Linked DNA regions of Stegostoma tigrinum. The protein of the gene in region 2 interacts with the protein of the main gene of each other region in a biochemical or structural test. Links are inferred from orthologs where the notes say so. Each region holds a gene or a part of one and is shown on either strand. Other genes may lie near its edges.

Region 1 (8,479 bases), on a different chromosome or scaffold from region 2:
AAGATTTTCAAAACAGTAGAGCAACATACTTAACATTTACTCCTGGCTCTGCATTGCTCATCAGAAAAATTGCTCACCATCAGTTTTATTTTCACAGTCAAAACAACTGTACAGAAGTGATATTTTAGTGACTGCTTTTTTTCTGCTACAATTTGAAAATACCTTGGAGCCAGCTTTGCATCATGAGTACCTCCTTGAGAAGGCTGTTATTTGTTGAGAGTCCCAAACACCATCACCAATTCCACATCCAAATTGTAACATTAATACATTATAGTTTAGCTTCCCATTGGGAGTTGGCTGAACACAGGAATCATTGAAGTCCAATACATCTGCTTTGTCAATTCAAAAGCAAATACATTTACATGAAGGTGTCTTGATGAATTAGCTGTTCCCACCACCTTTAAACTACAGGATTCTTGTCTATATATTGAAACACCAAGAAGCCCACAACTCCAATCAGGAGTGCATTGGGAAAGTTATAACTGGAATTAAAATGGTCTACAAAATGAAGCCATTAATTCACTTTGCAGGAAGGTGTGAAGCTGCAGTTAAGTCATTGATTTAAATTTTGAATCAAACAGAGCAGCTTTGACAAAAATCTGGCCTCCATTGCCAAAACTACAGTTGTAATTTTCTTGACATGGCTAAAAGTGAAAATCTGATTAATTTTGCGTATCCAAAGGTCAAACGGCAGACTGAAACAGTAAAAGCTTGGTGTTTTTTTTTGATGATCAAACTCTAAACCAGGCATGTACAATCCTGAGCTGTTAATTAGCTTTTCAAAGTGTTGTTTGCTGCCAACTATTAAGAAAAAAAATCAAGTATTTCATCCCACTTCTCCAAAGCAGTGGATGTTATGACAAGGAGAAAAAAGTCAGACGAGTATATACTTTTAAATGTTAAAATATTTATTGTAATGTAATAGAAATGAGGTTTTTTTACATAAATCAAGAAAAAAGAGAGGAAATCACAACGTTATAAATAAGACGCTGAAAAATACTACATTTCAGATCAATAGTTTAGAATTAAATTGCACGATGCCCGTTACATAACATTGGGGTTCTATGCAAAACATCCCAGTATTGAAGCTAAGTGCAACAGTCCAATTAACATTTGCTGCAAATCCCCTTGGTGTACAAAGGAAACAGTACAGGTAACTCGTGTGGGGGGGAGCTAGCTCCCTTTAAGAAATGCAAACAGCTCCAAAATGCAGTTCCAGTGCAAGCTCGCACGTTCCGCCTGCAGTAGGACGCGGATAAAAGACTCCATCAGTCATGGAGAGGGGGCGAGGCCGGCCGGCCAACCACTGTTTAAAACAAAACCGTCCATCTATCCTCCACACCAGGATTATAGTCCTGTTGTACTCTAGTCTTCACAGATCCTTTCTTCCACTTTCTGCATCAGTCCAGTCTATTATCAAAAAAAATCTAGATACAAAAGAGCCCTGCTTCGAAAATCTCTCCTTCATTCCATTTCCAAATCGGGTTTCGACACCTCCAGTCCAGCTCCTCCTCTGCAGCTGTCTTCTCGGTTCCGGGAGCGGATTGCAATCCACTCGCCGCTCTAAAAAACAGCCAAGTTTCCGCCGGGTATGCCGTCTTCTTTACCTTTTCTCTCTTTTTAAAAAATAAAACAAAAAAATGCCTTTGCAAACATGATTTTTCCTCATCCACCCGCATCTTTTTGTAGAAGAAAACGGCATACATTTCTCATTTAATTAAAGACGCTTCTTCTCAGCTTCCTTTTCTTCAGCTGGTTTGAAACCTTCAGCGTTCTTGCAGGGACACGGTAGGAACCCACTGGTTCTTGTTTCTACTTTCCTCGCAATAGCTTCCGACTTCCTCCAACGCCTCACATTTCCAAACATCAGTATGAGAGTTCTGGAAATAGAACGAAAAAAAACCCGATTAAACATCGCGTCAGCGACAACAGCACGTCAATTCCAGTCAGTTGTACCCGCCCAAACGCTGTCGTTTCGTTTTACGACAAATTGCAAGATTAACCCCTGAAATGCCAGAATCGACTAAATACCATTGTAACAATTTGAAGAAAGATTAGCAATCTGATCCGGATTGATGCCGTTAGAGATCTCGGATGCACAAGTTATTTACTATTACAATGTTTAAGTCGGAGAGATATTAATAGTGTCTACACCGTAGATTTTTGCAGCGCACTGTAGCTCGGGGATGGAGGGAAGAAACAGGCTATTCTTACCGTAACTAGCATGCAGTGCATGTCCCGGGGTTCAGCAGTCTCGTCCCCAGACTCCAGAAGTTCTTCCAAGCGCTTGACTCCCCGCAACCGCACGATGTTTATGTCGTTCTCGCAGCAGAAAGCCTGGATCAGGGTGAAATGGATCTGCAAGGCGATGTCGCCTTCATCTTCCTCATCGGCCGCCAGCAGACACAGGACTACACTGTCCGGGTCACTGCATATGGGACAGGAGTAGAACGGGCGATTAGAATCACGATGCACAACAAAAATCTGAAAGTCAATGGATGCTAAATCGCAGTTTTTAAGTTGTTGTTCGCAACTAGTTCCAGTTGTTATGAAGGTTAAAAAAAACCGTTCAATACTTACACATTCATTAACTTCGCCGACTCGTAAACCCCAACAGTTAGGTAGCCCTGGCGTTGTGCTGTCACCAACAATTTTTCTAAAGCTTGATCAATTGGCTGCATTCTGGATAGAGATGAAAATATATATACTTACAACATATTCATTTTAAAAAATAGAGTCTGCAAACTACATAACCTACGGATATAGATTATCTATACGCGATCCTTTCCGCTTGATCTCATTAAGACCAACTACAAACGATCGATTTTCTAGCAACTTACTTTTTGCTAGTGTTGTCAGTTCCAGTAATATCTTCCAGAGTCATGTTGTTGTAATTAAATCCAAGGTAAAAAACACAGCCCTCGGGTTCAAGACTCCAGTGATAAGTCTCCTTCGCTGTAACGTTCTACCACTGACTGTAACAATCCTCCAAAGCTCGAGATCCGCATTCAAACGACACTGCACTCTATTCTCTGCTTCGTTCTGCGACTCTTCGGCGGCGTTCACTGCTTTTAAAAGGTTACATGCCGCCCACCGGCTCATCTGCATACGGCTCTCGCGATTGGCTCTTCCGACCGGCGATTAATATTAAACGTCCTCCACAGGGGAGCCCAGATGGCGTATTTTCTGGGAATTTTCTTGTTTCTCTCCCTTCGTATTTTTTTCTCCCTCTCGATGACTCAGTTTCGCGTGCTACAAGGCATTATGAAGCTGCCAGTCGTGTCCGTATTGGAATGAATCTTCTAGAATAAAACCACACAGTTGCAATGTAAAATTAGATAATGATAATGCTGAGCTGTCTGGTAGTTCCCATCCAAGAGCCCTGATACTATTTATTAGTCACACAGCCGCATTCATCGCCAACTTAATGCAATTCAAAACTTTTTTTTGCATTTAATATTTGAGCTAAAACATCTTGTCTGCAAATTGTCATAATTGCCTCAAATTGTTCGAAGTTAATTGCAAGCTCTTGGCGAAAAAGGTTGAGACATTAACAAGCTTCATAAGTTTGCATCAATTTGCATTTTTAAGAATGTCATTTTATTGAGCGAGATCAAAATCTGAAGTTTTGTGCAGCACACTGTCTTGCAGGTTTCGAGTGTGGATTGCAGGTGACACTAAATATTAAATCTTGTGTAACGGCTGTTATAAACTGCCCTGGTTGGTGCACCAGGAAATGTAATATGCTTCGCTGTTCTAAATTTCAAAACATAACTAAATGTACTTTACTTCTTAATAGTACACTCAGTCCGAGATTAAAAGCAAATAGAACCAGTTGGAAATAGAATCTGTTTCTCTTCTCTCTAGTTTCCGACGGGGAATATTTCGCGTACGTAACAAGTTTTCCAGTTGAGTGGAAACTCCGCCTGCCAACCGCCGAGCGCATAAACAAATCATATACTACACAAGCAATAATTTATCTGCAGCAGCTAAATGCACTTTCCAAAAGTGAACAGATATAAAATAAACGGGAAAATTAGGAAATGCTTTGCAAAGTCACTGTGTACAGCCGTAGCCTTCGTTTCTGGGAAGTTTTGCAATGAGCCTGATTGTTTACGGGTATCCTTTGGCACCTAGGGCAGTCTGTGATTAAGGAAAAACATATCTGCCACTAAATTTGTTGGAAAATTAGATGCAATCAACATCTTCGTTGTATTCGTGACTGTATCTATTCTTCGAATCTATTCATTTGCAGAGATCTGGTATGTTCACATGTAACGTTCAGTCGTATGTTAACATGTTGAAACTCATAGGATTGGTGCTTTGTGAAATTACAGACAACCTCAGAAATGGTTGGAATTCCAAACAATGCACCTTCCTTGGCCTCTCCACACCCCGAAAGTCGTTAAGAAAAACGAACACAGCTTGTAAACAAAATCAGAAATAAATATACGTACAATGGGCAACCTTAAAACTAATCAAAGGGCGCCGTCTGGCGAGCTTGTTGCCTGCTACTCCCTCTGACATGAGTTCACTGGTTCCACCTGGCGTTCAACTGAAGGAAAACGAATAACTTGCACCATACAAATTGTAACTTTCCAACATCATGTTATTTAGGGGCAGAGATAATGTGAACTGCAGATGCTGGAGAATCCAAGACAACAGTGTGAAGCTGGATGAACACAGCAGGCCAAGCAGCATCTCAGGAGCACAAAAGCTGACGAGTTCATCCAGCTTCACACATGTTATTTAGGGGCAGCGTTTTGCCAGTTCGAAGACCAATTCACATTATAAGGTTTCAAAATAAATGAATATACTTAAAGTAACGATGACTTGAAATGCAACATTTCAAAAGTTAATGCTTCCTACATTACAACGGTGATTACGCTTCATAAGTACTTCATTGGTTGTAAACTGATTTGAGAGGTCCACAGGTGATGAAAGATACTTTGTCAATGAAGGGAGGACTCTAGTGATGTAGTGGTAGTTCTCCAACTCTGAGCTTCAAAATCTCCCCTTCCCCCACCGCATCCCAAAACCAGCCCTGTTCGTCCCCTCCCCCCACTGCACCACACAACCAGCCCAGCTCTTCCCCTCCACCCACTGCATCCCAAAACCAGTCCAACCTGTCTCTGCCTCCATAACCTGTTCTTCCTCTCACCCATCCCTTCCTCCCACCTCAAGCCGCACCTCCATCTCCTACCTAATAACCTCATCCCACCTCCTTGACTTGTCCGTCTTCCCTGGACTGACCTATCCCCTCCCTATCTCCCCACCTATACTCTCCTCTCCACCTATCTTCTTTTCTCTCCATCTTCGGTCCGCCTCCCCCTCTCTCCCTATTTATTCCAGAACCCTCACCCCATCCCACTCTCTGATGAAGGGTCTAGGCCCGAAACGTCAGCTTTTGTGCTCCTGAGATGCTGCTTGGCCTGCTGTGTTCATCCAGCCTCACATTTTGTTATCTGAGCCAAAAGAGTTCAGATCTGACCTGCTCCAAAAGTGTGTCGATAACATGTCAGAACATGTCTGAACAAGTTGATTAAAAATATCTATCAGGTGAAGTGACGAAGAAGCCAGAAAACTTGAAATAAAGCTGTCGGACGAAAACCTGGTGTCATGTGACTTCTGACCTTCTCCATCCCAGTCCAACACCGGGACCTGCACATCATGTTAACCGATTGGAGTGGGCCCTCTCTTCCACTTTCATCTTTCACCTCTTTATCCAATTTGTTCTGTAATTTATCAGTCCAGGTAGAAGCTTCAAAACGATTCTTTCTTTCATCAGTTATTGCCATATAAACACAAAACACATTGATAATGTACCTCTCCATCATTGGTTCAGAATGTCACACTGCAATGTCGGGTTCCTGAGGGTGTGCCCTCACTGCTCCACCTGGTGGTAATGTTCACGATAACGCAGCCATCGAAGATTCACGTAATTTTACTGTGTTGAAGGAAGCTATTAGGCCCATTATGTCTACTCGGCTATCCAAACAAGTGATTCCCGTAGTGTTATTCTTTGGTCATCTCGCTGTAACCTTGTGTTTCTTCTTTTTCAGATTACAGTCTTATTCATTTTTGAATGCTTCTACCTCATTCTCAGGCAATAAATTCCAGCTTAACTGTTTGAAGAAGACCTTCATGTCACTTTTGATTCTTTGCTAATTATTTTAAATCTTTTATTCTCTTTCATTTCTTCAGTGGGAACAACTTCTCTCTGTTTGCAGTGTCTCAAACCCTCATGATTTTCAATACCTCTATCAAATCTCCTCTCAGTCTTTTAGGAAAACTGAACCAACCTCTCCAATCAGTTTTCACCACTGAATTTATGTATTCTTAGAACCATCCTCCTGAATCTTTTCTACCCACAATCTCCAATGCGGTCATATCCTTCATAAAGTGCACTGCTAAGAACTCAGTGATAATGGGAACTGCAGATGCTGGAGAATCCAAGATAACAAAGTGTGGAGCTGGATGAACACAGCAGGCCAAGTAGCATCTCAGGAGCACAAAAGCTGACGTTTCGGGCCTAGACCCTTCATCAGAGAGGGGGATGGGGTGAGGGTTCTGGAATAAATAGGGAGAGAGGGGGAGGCGGACCAAAGATGGAGAGAAAACAAGATAGGTAGAGAGGAGAGTATAGGTGAGGAGGTAGGGAGGGGATAGGTCAGTCCAGGGAAGATGGACAGGTCAAGGAGGCGGGATGAGGTGGTAGGTAGGAAATGGAGGTTCGGCTTGAGGTGGGAGTAAAGGATGGGTGAGAGGAAGAACAGGTTAGGGAAGTAGAGACAGGTTAGACTGGTTTTGGGATGCGGTGGGGGGAGGGGATGAGCTGGCTTGGTTGTGTGGTGCAGTGGGGGGAGGGGAAGAACTGGGCTGGTTTTGGGATGCAGTGGGGAAAGGGGAGATTTTGAAGCTTGTGAAGTCCACATTGATACCATTGGGGTGCAGGGTTCCCAAGCGGAATATGAGTTGCTGTTCCTGCAACCTTCGCGTGGCATCATTGTGGTACTGCAGGAGGCCCATGATGGACATGTCATCTAAAGAATGGGAGGGGGAGTTGAAATGGTTTGCGACTGGGAGGTGCAGTTGTGTGTTGTGAACCGAGCGGAGGTGTTCTGCAAAGCGGTCCCCAAGCCTCCGCTTGGTTTCCCCAATGTAGAGGAAGCCACACCGGGTGCAATGGATACAATATACCACATTGGCAGATGTGCAGGTGAACATCTGTTTGATATGGAAGGTCACCTTGGGGCCTGGGATAGGGGTGAGGGAGGAGGTGTGGGGGCAAGTGTAGCACTTCCTGCGGTTGCAGGGGAAGGTGCCGGGTGTGGTGGGGTTGGAGGGGAGTGTGGAGCGGACAAGGGAGTAGCGGAGAGAGTGCTCTCTCCGGAAGGCAGACAAGGGTGGGGATGGAAAAATGTCTTGGGTGGTGGGTTCGGATTGTAGATGGCGGAAGTGTCGGAGGATGATACGTTGTATCCGGAGGTTGGTGGGGTGGTATGTGAGAATGAGGGGGATTCTCTGGGAGTGGTAGTGGCGGGGGCGGGGTGTGAGGGATGTGTTGTGGGAAATGCGGGAGACGCGGTCAAGGGCGTTCTCGACCACTGCGGGGGGAAAGTTGTGGATCTTTCTTTTACTTTGCATCTGTTGGCCTTTGCCAACATGGCACTAAAGTAAAAGGTGATGTTGCTATAGTCCTACTCTCACATTAGATAGAGATGACTGGTGAAGATCACCATATTTCAGGAAGGTGAAAGTTGAGAAGACAATCCTTCATTGTAACCACAGCCAGTACAGGAATTGAACTCATGCTGTTGGTATCAAACTGCATCAGAAACAAGCTGTCCAGCCAACTGAGCTAACCAATCCCTTTAATATAGCACTAATAGCAATGTGAAGTCAATGTTTTGAGAATTTTGATACAAATTAATTTTCTTTGAAGGCAGTCAAATCATACAATTCAGATTGTGAATCCAGCACTTGCTTTTGGATGAGACAGTAAACCAATGCACTCTTCATTGAAAGTCGAGTATTCTGTGGCACTATTTTGAAGAAGAGCCAAGGAGTTATCCTAGATAACAAGGTGTGGAGCTGGATGAACACGGCAGGCCAGGCAGCATCAGAGGAGCAGGAAAGCTGACGTTTCGGATCTGGACCTTTCTTCAAATTTCTGAAGAAGAGTCCAGACCCAAAATGTCAGCTTTCCTGCTCCTCTGATGCTGCCTGGCCTGCTGTGTTCTTCCAGCTCCACGCCTTGTTATCTCAGACTCCAGAATCAGCAGTTCTTACTATCTCTCAATGAGTTATCCCGCTGTCACTTGGCAAATATTTGAGGAGCAGGAAGTACTTTGGGAATGAAAATAAATCTTTTGAATTAATTTTAGAAATTAATTATTTTTGTCATCTACTCTCCAAAAGTTCATTACAAAAGCACAGTTGCTTTATGGCCATTCATTTTAGTGCACATCCAAATTTC
Region 2 (8,766 bases):
CAGAGACTAGTTAAGACCTTTCATCATTTGCCTTAGACCTCAAAGCACCTGTAGTATCATACAGAGTCTTTTCAGTTATTGTATATTATCACTAAGCATCAATGTCCTGATTCATACAATTATCACTTTCAGCAGGACTATCATAGCTGCCACAGCCAACATTCATATATAAGTTTTTAAAGGATTTGAATGCATAATATAACATGGTCTATAATAACAATAACCATTTCACACTACCCTCCCAAGTATCCATCTTTTTCACAACATTGGATTACACAAACATTCAAAGAACCATAAAGTACAAGGATATCACCGAGTCTACTTTATCCATTTGTCTATTTTGAAATGCCACAGTTCCCTTCACTGCTATTCTATGAAGTTCTATTTGATCATCGTGCATAAAGGATCTCTTGGAATCAGTCCAAAAACATACCTTTCACTAGTTTGAACCTGCCTCCACTCTTTCTACTGTAATAATTTGGACTTCCTAAATTTCCATTCCAACAGCTTATTTTCCAAAGAACGTTTTTTTCCCCCTATAACTAGGCCTCCATATAAGGAAGAGATGGGACAGCTCCTAACACCTGGTGATGCTCTTACAATAGGATGGCGGATGTGAAAGTTATTTTGCCCAAAGCAAAGATTTTTTTTCTTGCTTGGCTATGTTGATGCATGCAGTAATGTGTTCCAAATATACTACAGGCACTCAAGTTCAAATGAATTCTTTGTGAATTGGTATAAAGCATTTCTGACAGGGAAAATCTACAGAAATGTAAGTCAGTCAATCTTAAACTTACAACAGTCACTAAGCCATCCAAACAATACTTCGATTCCCCATTCCACCCCTGAAATGACAGATAGATTTATTGGTTACAGTTGGTGAAGAAAAGACAGGTCTTTAAAAAAAATCTGACACAAACAGCAACACAACAATCAAAAAAATTTGGGCTTCTTTTTCCTCAAGCAATTTAAACATTTTAAATTTACACTCACATTATGTAGTAGTTTCAGAAACAGTTACACGTAGGCACCAAAACAAGCAGTCGCCTCCAAAAAACTGTCCACATATCAAATGATTAACCTAACCCAGCCCAACAGCTTCCACAAACTGTTAATCCAACTTTCTACATTAGAAAACTGTGTTTTAGAACTCTTCTACACCAATGGCATTGTTGCATAATCACAGTGAAAATAAGACTGACACCCCTTCTTTGCCATGCAAGTGCCCTGCCTACAACGTGTACTCTCTTCATAACTAACACTGACATTAAACACTACAGAACAAGCAGCCTCGCTAACAAAGTCTGTAAATGTGATCACAGTACTGTTTTGATCTTACAAGATCTGTACTGTGGAGTTAATTACAGTTTTGCAAGACATTATACAGGTTCAACCCAAGTAAAAAGGCTCAGTTAGTGATTTTAATTACTGACTTGCTAAATAAATACACACTAAAAGAAAAAGGCATTACTCAGGTTCTTAATATATTCAGTAACAGTAAACACTTTTTATCACAGTCAAAACTTGGTTAATTGTTTCTGAAACCTGTCTGAAGGAAGTGACCTGTTATATATTATAGGTATAAATGACTATTGGCCAGTTGTTGGGGTCAACCACAGATCATCAATCAAGATGACGTATTACACTGCAAACGAGAAACACTCTACGCTGCTACAGTACCAGTACTAGTAAGCAGCAATTCTAACTGGAGAGAATTTCAATACAAGTTATTGTAGGTTGGATAATGTACGAGTAGAGCTATGACACAGGCAAACCATCATTGTGTCAAACGGCAAGAAGGCCTTAAGTACCAAATGGCCTACTTCTGCTCTTAATTCCTATGCTTGTAGCAATCACTACATCCAAATACACGGAATCTACCTCAGAAAATCTATTTTCTGAAGAAGGGTCTCGATGCAAAACGTCAGCTTTCCTGCCCCTCTGATGCTGCTTGGCCTGCTGTGTTCATCCAGCTCTACACCTTGTTATCTCAGATTCTCCAGCATCTGCAGTTCCTACTTTCTCAGAAAATCTATGTTTTGCATTTGTTGGGGGAAAACATCTGATTCAGCAAAAAAAAGCTTGAAAGTTCACAAGTCAATACATACACGCTATTCCAAGCAATCAGCACATGAAGATACATCTACCTTAGTAGTGAGTTAAGTCACAGTCATTTGAAAACCCATAGGAGCACACTGTGCCGAGTTGAATGAATACAATTTTGCAAATGTTCCTGAGCTAAAACCCTGAGTCTCCCTTCCTTCAAAATAACTCAGTAGCTATCCCGTTCAATAAATTACTTAGCCTATCACGAATTGCCAGTTTTCTGTTAAAATGGCATATTATGTTTCCCATATTAAAGATTCTGCATGAAGAAGAGGTGTTGCTGGATGGGTAGGGGGTTGACAATGAGCTGACTTCTCGAAGCCCAAGCAATTGTGATAGGGTGTCAGACCCGGGAAATGTTGGGGGGAGGGGGCTTAGAACTGCGATCCTAACACCAACACACGCCCTGACAATTCCCACGGCTAGAGCGAGGAAGGGGGAAACCTTAGTCGCTCGAAGCCACTGTTCGCAAATAAACAATAATCAGAGGCCCAGGGAGCAACTTCCGCTCACACTCACGGTCTACCCGGAGGTGCCGCCCCTTCCCCACTGTCGATTGGATAAGCATCCTGATTGATGGGTCACACTGCGAAGCAATTGGCAGAGACAGCTGTCAACCAGACAGCGACGCCCCACTCTACAGAGGAGCTGCCGGCAGATGACGGCCCAGCCCAGGGCTGCAGACAGTTGGAGCGGTGGAAACCTCACTCTGTGGGGAGCTTTCCTCGGTTCCTGGGAGGAGAGGACAGTTGCCTCTCCAATCCAAAGGAAAGGTTCCTGATCTAACGGCCGCAGCTCAGAATCCTCCACCCACTTCAAACTAACCCTGCCCTCCGCCGTGCTGTGATTCGACCGAGCCGCGGAATGACACCAGCTCCAGCAGCCATATCCCGTTCCCATTGACTGAGGCGGCTATCAATCAGCGACCGCCCCGCCCAGTAGGGTGACGCACGCGTGTTTCCGCTGTAAGGCGGCGGGGCCGCGGCCGGATCCGGAGCGTAGGGGGCCCCGGACCCCACACAAACTGTTCCTGGTCACAGGCCACAGTACAGCACTGTTCGCTTACTGGGTCTGGGTCTCCTCGGGCTGGAAGGCGAGCTCATGTCGAGCGACAGGTCGATACGTCGCCGCGCTTCCCGGTTCTCCTGTTTTAGCTTGGCTTCTAGGCGCGACAGCTTCTGCTCCAGGGAGGACGCCGCCATCTTAGCGCGATACAGGGAGCGGCCAGTGCGCAGGCGCCGGCAGCCAGCTCGCACTGCGCCCATCCCCCACTACAAGCCAAATACAAACCACAGCAATTTACCGCCATACACTTTGAAATGCGTTGTCCTGAAGAAGGTTAATACTTGAAAGGTTGACTTTTCCTTTCTTCCAGATACTACCTGGCGTAGTGTTCTTCTTCCAGCCTCCTACTTGTCTGCCTTCGATTCCAGAATCTGCAGGGTTTTTTTGGCTCGAACCAAGTTGTACCACTGTGAAGGCTCTTCAAAGGATGCCCACTTTGAAGTTCTCTGCTTCTCTCAGATGTGAGCTCAGTGAGCCACGCTGCTGTGACCTCTTCAGCTCCTCGACCATACTATGAAACAAAGTCCTGAAGAAGGGTAATACCTGAAACATTGCTTGCTGCTTTCCTCCACATTATGCTAGGCCTGCTGTGTTCTTTCAGCCTCCTGTTTGTCTACGTTTGGATTCTAGAAACTGTGTTTTTTTGCCTAACTTATACACCTTATCCAATATGGTTCAATATGTGCATTGTGCAATATACATTATTTAGATACAATGTGGTCCAACATCCACCGTTATATAGCATTAAGTAATAAAGAATGCTGTCCAATGTACACCACCAAATGTTATTTTCAAATATACAGTACTTCTAAATATATACCACTATACAATTCATTATTCACTATGCAATATATGAAACAGACAATGTTGATCTGGTGTCCTTTTGACAACTTCAGTGGCTGTTTTTGTTGGTGTCTGTGTGGGTTTCTTTCTGGGAGCTTCAGTCAGTCTGTGACTCCATACGGCATTTTTGTTTTGGCATTGTGGTTGGCCCAGCCCAGGATTCCAATGGCAGGTTCGGGTCCTGTAGTCCAGAGCTGTGAAATGGACTAAAGGGACTTTGTATAAAATTCACTTTTCAATGCATTTTTCTTTGCTATATTATTGTGGCAGGTCTGTTATTCTGAACCTTTTATTTCTTTATTTTTCTGTTTACTTGTCAAGGTCTGAAGTGCCAATTTTTTTTTATTTCTTTTCTAATTTTTTTCCTAAGAACTTTGTACCCAAGGATTTGTACCTAGCTACCTTCATACCTAAGAAGGTGCCGTAAGTGGTGACTTGTAAACTTTTCACTGTACTCGTGTGAGTACATATGACAATAAAGCTAATTCAATTCAATATCCATCACTGTACAACATAAACCAGTACCAAATATACATGACTGTCAAATATCTGCCACTATGCAATATGTAACATTATTCAATGCATACTGTTATCCAATATATTATTCAATTTACACCATTCCTCAATGTACAATATTATTCAGTATTGTTTGGTACACACTGTTTATGGCTGTACCACCTTAACTGGCAGAGTTCTAGATTCCTACCATCTACTGGCTAAAAAGGATTTCCCTCCTGTATCCTGTAAACCCTCTGCCCTGCCCTTTACCTTAAATGAAGTGAGGTGAGAGTGACAGCAAGGCTGCATTCAACTGAGTGGGGTATCAAGGAGCCCTAGCAAAACTGGAATCAATGAGTATCAGGGGGCAAACTCCCTTCACCATCAATGCTTAGTAGCGGCAGTGTCTACAAGATGCACTGCAGAAATTTGTAAAGATCCTTAGACAGCACCTTCCAAACCCACGAGCCAAATCCATCTAGAAGGACAAGGGCAGCAGATACATGATACTGGAATGGTAGGTTTAATGTACGATGAACGGCTAAGGATCCTTGGATTGTATTCATTAGAGTTTAGAAGGTTGAGGGGGGATCTAATAGAAACTTACAAGATAATGTATGGCTTAGAAAGGGTGGACGCTGGGAAGTTGTTTCCTTAGGCGGAGAGACTAGGATCCATGGACACAGCCTTAGAATTAGAGGGGGTAAATTTAAAATGGAAATGAGGAGACATTTCTTCAGCCAGAGTGTGGTGGGCTTGTGGAATTCGTTGCCATGGTGTGCAGTGGAGGCCGGGACATTAGATGCCTTCAAGGCAGAGATCGATAAATTCTTGATCTCACAAGGAATCAAGGGCTACAGGGAGAGTGCAGGGAAGTGGAGTTGAAATGCCCATCAGCCATGATTTAAATGGTGGAGTGGACTTGATGGGCCAAATGGCCTTACTTCCACTCCTATGTTTTATGGTCTTATGAGGACACCACCACCTTCGAGTTCCCGTCCAAGCCCCTCACCACAATGACATGGAAATATATCATCCAGCCTTCACTGTTGCTGGGTCAAAATCTGGAAATCCCTCCCTAATGGCATTGTGAGTGAATCCAGCGGACTGCAGCAGTTCAAGAAGGTAGCTCATGACTACTTTCTCAACGGCAACTAGGGACAGGTAATAAATGCTGGCCAGACAGCAATGTCTACATCCCACCAATGAATAACAAAAAAGCATGCCCCAATCATCAATCCCTCCATCAAGAGAAATCTTTCTTCTCTGCCCTATCTATGCCCCTCATAATTTTACACATCTCAATCATATCCCTTCTCAATTTCCACTGCTTTAAAGAAAACAACCCCAGTGTGCCCAATCTCCGTTCATAATTTAAACTCTCCAGCCCAGGCAACATCCTGGTAAATCTCCGGTGCTATCACATCCCTTCTATAATGTGGACTTGAGAACTGAACACTAGCTATGGACTAACCAATGTTTTATGCAGTTCCAGCATAATCTCACTGCTTGTACACTCTTTACCTCAACTAATTTTCAGTCACTTTATCCACGTGTCCCGACATCTTGAGGGAGCAGCGTACATGTACACCAAGAACTGTCTGATCCTCGATCTTACCATTCATTGTGTATTCCCTCGTATTGAAAAACACCAAATAAAATGATCCAAGAAAACTCTGAGATAGTAGGAACTGCTGATGCTGGAGTCAGAGATAACAAGGTGTGGAGCTGGATGAACACAACAGGCCAGGCAGCATCAAAGGATAAAGAAAGCTGACATTTTGGGTCTGGACACTTCTTCAGAAATGGAGGAGGGGAAGGGGGCTCTGAAATAAATAGAGAGAGGGGGAGGTGCTGATAGAAGGTGGATTGTGGAGCAGATAGGTGGCAAGAAGATGGACAGCTCAAGGAAGTGGGGATGAAGCTTGTAAAGGTAAGTGTAGGTAGGAAGTTGGGATGGGGGTTGGTCAATGAGGAGGGAGGGGCAGGTAGGTGGGAGGGAAGACGGGCAGGAATGAGAGGGGGTGCTGGTCTTGAGATGAGGTTGGGAGTGGGGAGATTTTGAAGCTTGTAAAGTCCACATTGAGACCATTGGGGTGGAGGGTTCCAAGGCAGAATATGAGGTGCTGTTCCACCAGTTTTTGGGTGGCATCATTGTGACACTGGAGAAGGCCTAGGATGGACATGTCATCCAGGGAGTGGGAGGGGGAGTTGAAGTTGTTCGTGACTGGGAAGTGTTGTTGTTTGTCGCAAACCAAGTGTAAGTGCTCCATAAAGCAGTCTCTGAGCCTTTGCTTGGTCTCCCTGATGTAGAGGAGACCACATTGGGAACAGCAGATACAACATACTACATTAGCGGATGTGTGGGTGAACATCTGTTTAACGTGGAAGGTTTTCTTGGGGCCTGGGATGGAGGTGAGGGGGTGGTGTAGGGGCAGGTGTAGCACCTCCTGTGCTTGCAGGGAAAGCTACCGGGGGTGATGGGGTTAGTGGGCAGCGTGGAGCAGACAAGGGAGTTGCGGAGAAAGCAGGCCCTCCAGAAGGCAGATAAAGATAGGGAGGGAACTATATCCTTTGTTGTGGTGTCAGATTGCAGGTGGCGCAAGTGGCAGAGAATGATGCGTTGAATCCGGAGGTTAATGGGGTGATACTTGAGGACGAGGGGAATTCTGACTGTTTTTATTGCGGGGAGGGGGTGTGAGGGCTGATATGTGGGAAACGCAAGAGCTGCGGTCGAGGGCATTTTCAACCACTGTGAGCAGGAAATTGCAGCCCTTGAAAAACAAGAACATCTGGGATGTCTGGGACTGGAACACTTCATCTTGGGAGCAGATTAGATTCCCTACCGTGTGGAAACAGGACCTTGGGCCCAACAAGTCCACACCGCCGCTTGGAGCATCCCACCCAGACCCATCCCCCTATAACCAACACACCCGTGAACACTACGGGCAATTTAGCATGGTGTATCCACCTAGCCTGCACATTTTTGGACTGTGGGAGGAAACTGGAGCACCCGGAAGAAACCCATGCAGACACGGGGAGAATGTGCAAACTCCACAGAGATAGTCACCCGAGGCGGGAATCAAACCCAGGTCCCTGGAGCTGTGAGGCTGCAGTGCTAACCACTGAGCCACCGTGCCATCCATAAATGATGTGGCGGAGGTGGAGGAGTTGGGAATAGGGGATCGCATCCTTGGAGAAAGGTGGGTGAGTGGAGGTGTAGTCGAGGTAGCTGTGCGAGTTGGTGGGCTGTTTTCCACTAAAACGCCATCCAGTTAAAGACTAACAAGTAAAACCCTGTCTCCAATACAAGGCAGTTTACAGTAAAACACTATCCAGTAAAACATTGTCCAGTGTAACACTGCACTGCTGCAACCTCCCCCTTTTCATTCCATATGTCCTTATGCCTCTTCTCTAAACCACTCTTCCACTGATCCTGCTCCTGCCCTCCTCTGCCCATTTGCTCCCATCTCCATACATTCTCTGCAGACCCACTCTTCTGCCCCCATGACCTCTTGCACCCAACCCTAATCTCCTCCCACTTATTCTGTTCCAGCTCTCTCACCTTCATTCCCCCCTCTCTTCCCCCTGCCACATCCTCTGACAGTCCCTTTGCCTCTCTCACACTTCCTCAGCCATTCCTGTTCCCCTTTCTCTGCCCTTCCTCTTAGACCTACTGCCCCCTCCACTAGCTCCTGCTGCATCTACCATCCCACCACACCACCAGCTCACCCCTGCTTCCTCCTATTCCCTTGCTAGTCCAGGTCTTGGGAAACCACGACTGGCTCTGCTGTAAAATAGGGTATGGCAAAGTCCAAGCGAACAATTGTGATTGGCAACTCTCTAGTTAGGGGCATGGATTGGCATTTCTGCAGTCATGAGCAAGACTTCAGGATGGAGTGTTGCCTCACTGGTGTCAGGGTCAAGGACATCTCAGAGCAGCAAATTGTCAAAGGGGAGCCTGAGCAGCCAGAAGTCATTTTACACATTGGTACCAGCGATACAAATAAAAAAAGACATGAGGTCCTGCAGAGTGAAAATAGGGAGTTGGGCAGGAGGTTAAAAAGCAAGACCTCAAGGGTATGAATCTCTGGATTATTCCTGGTGCCATGGGCTAGTGAGAGTAAGAATAGGAGGATAGGATAGATGAATACTTGACTGAGGAACTAGTGCGGGGAGCAGGGATTCAGATTTTTGGTTCACTGGGATCTCTTCTGGGGCAGAAGTGACCTGTGCGAGAGGGATTGGTTGCAC

What was found.
Region 1: the proteins of map2k7 (region 2) and growth arrest and DNA damage-inducible protein GADD45 beta-like form a complex in vitro, tested with the Homo sapiens proteins (2 studies listed by BioGRID and IntAct). The link is inferred for Stegostoma tigrinum from reciprocal best matches to the Homo sapiens genes MAP2K7 and GADD45B.

Annotation. Positions count from the first base shown.
Region 1 is NC_081383.1:7,330,787-7,339,265, reverse strand, and holds growth arrest and DNA damage-inducible protein GADD45 beta-like, read right to left. Parts: upstream 3,068-8,479; 5' UTR 2,885-3,067; coding exon 2,841-2,884; intron 2,683-2,840; coding exon 2,581-2,682; intron 2,429-2,580; coding exon 2,215-2,428; intron 1,881-2,214; coding exon 1,767-1,880; 3' UTR 888-1,766; downstream 1-887.
Region 2 is NC_081388.1:1,330,876-1,339,641, forward strand, and holds the start of map2k7 (dual specificity mitogen-activated protein kinase kinase 7), read right to left. Parts: upstream 3,343-8,766; 5' UTR 3,309-3,342; coding exon 3,173-3,308; intron 1-3,172. UniProt on the Homo sapiens protein: Dual specificity protein kinase which acts as an essential component of the MAP kinase signal transduction pathway. Essential component of the stress-activated protein kinase/c-Jun N-terminal kinase (SAP/JNK) signaling pathway.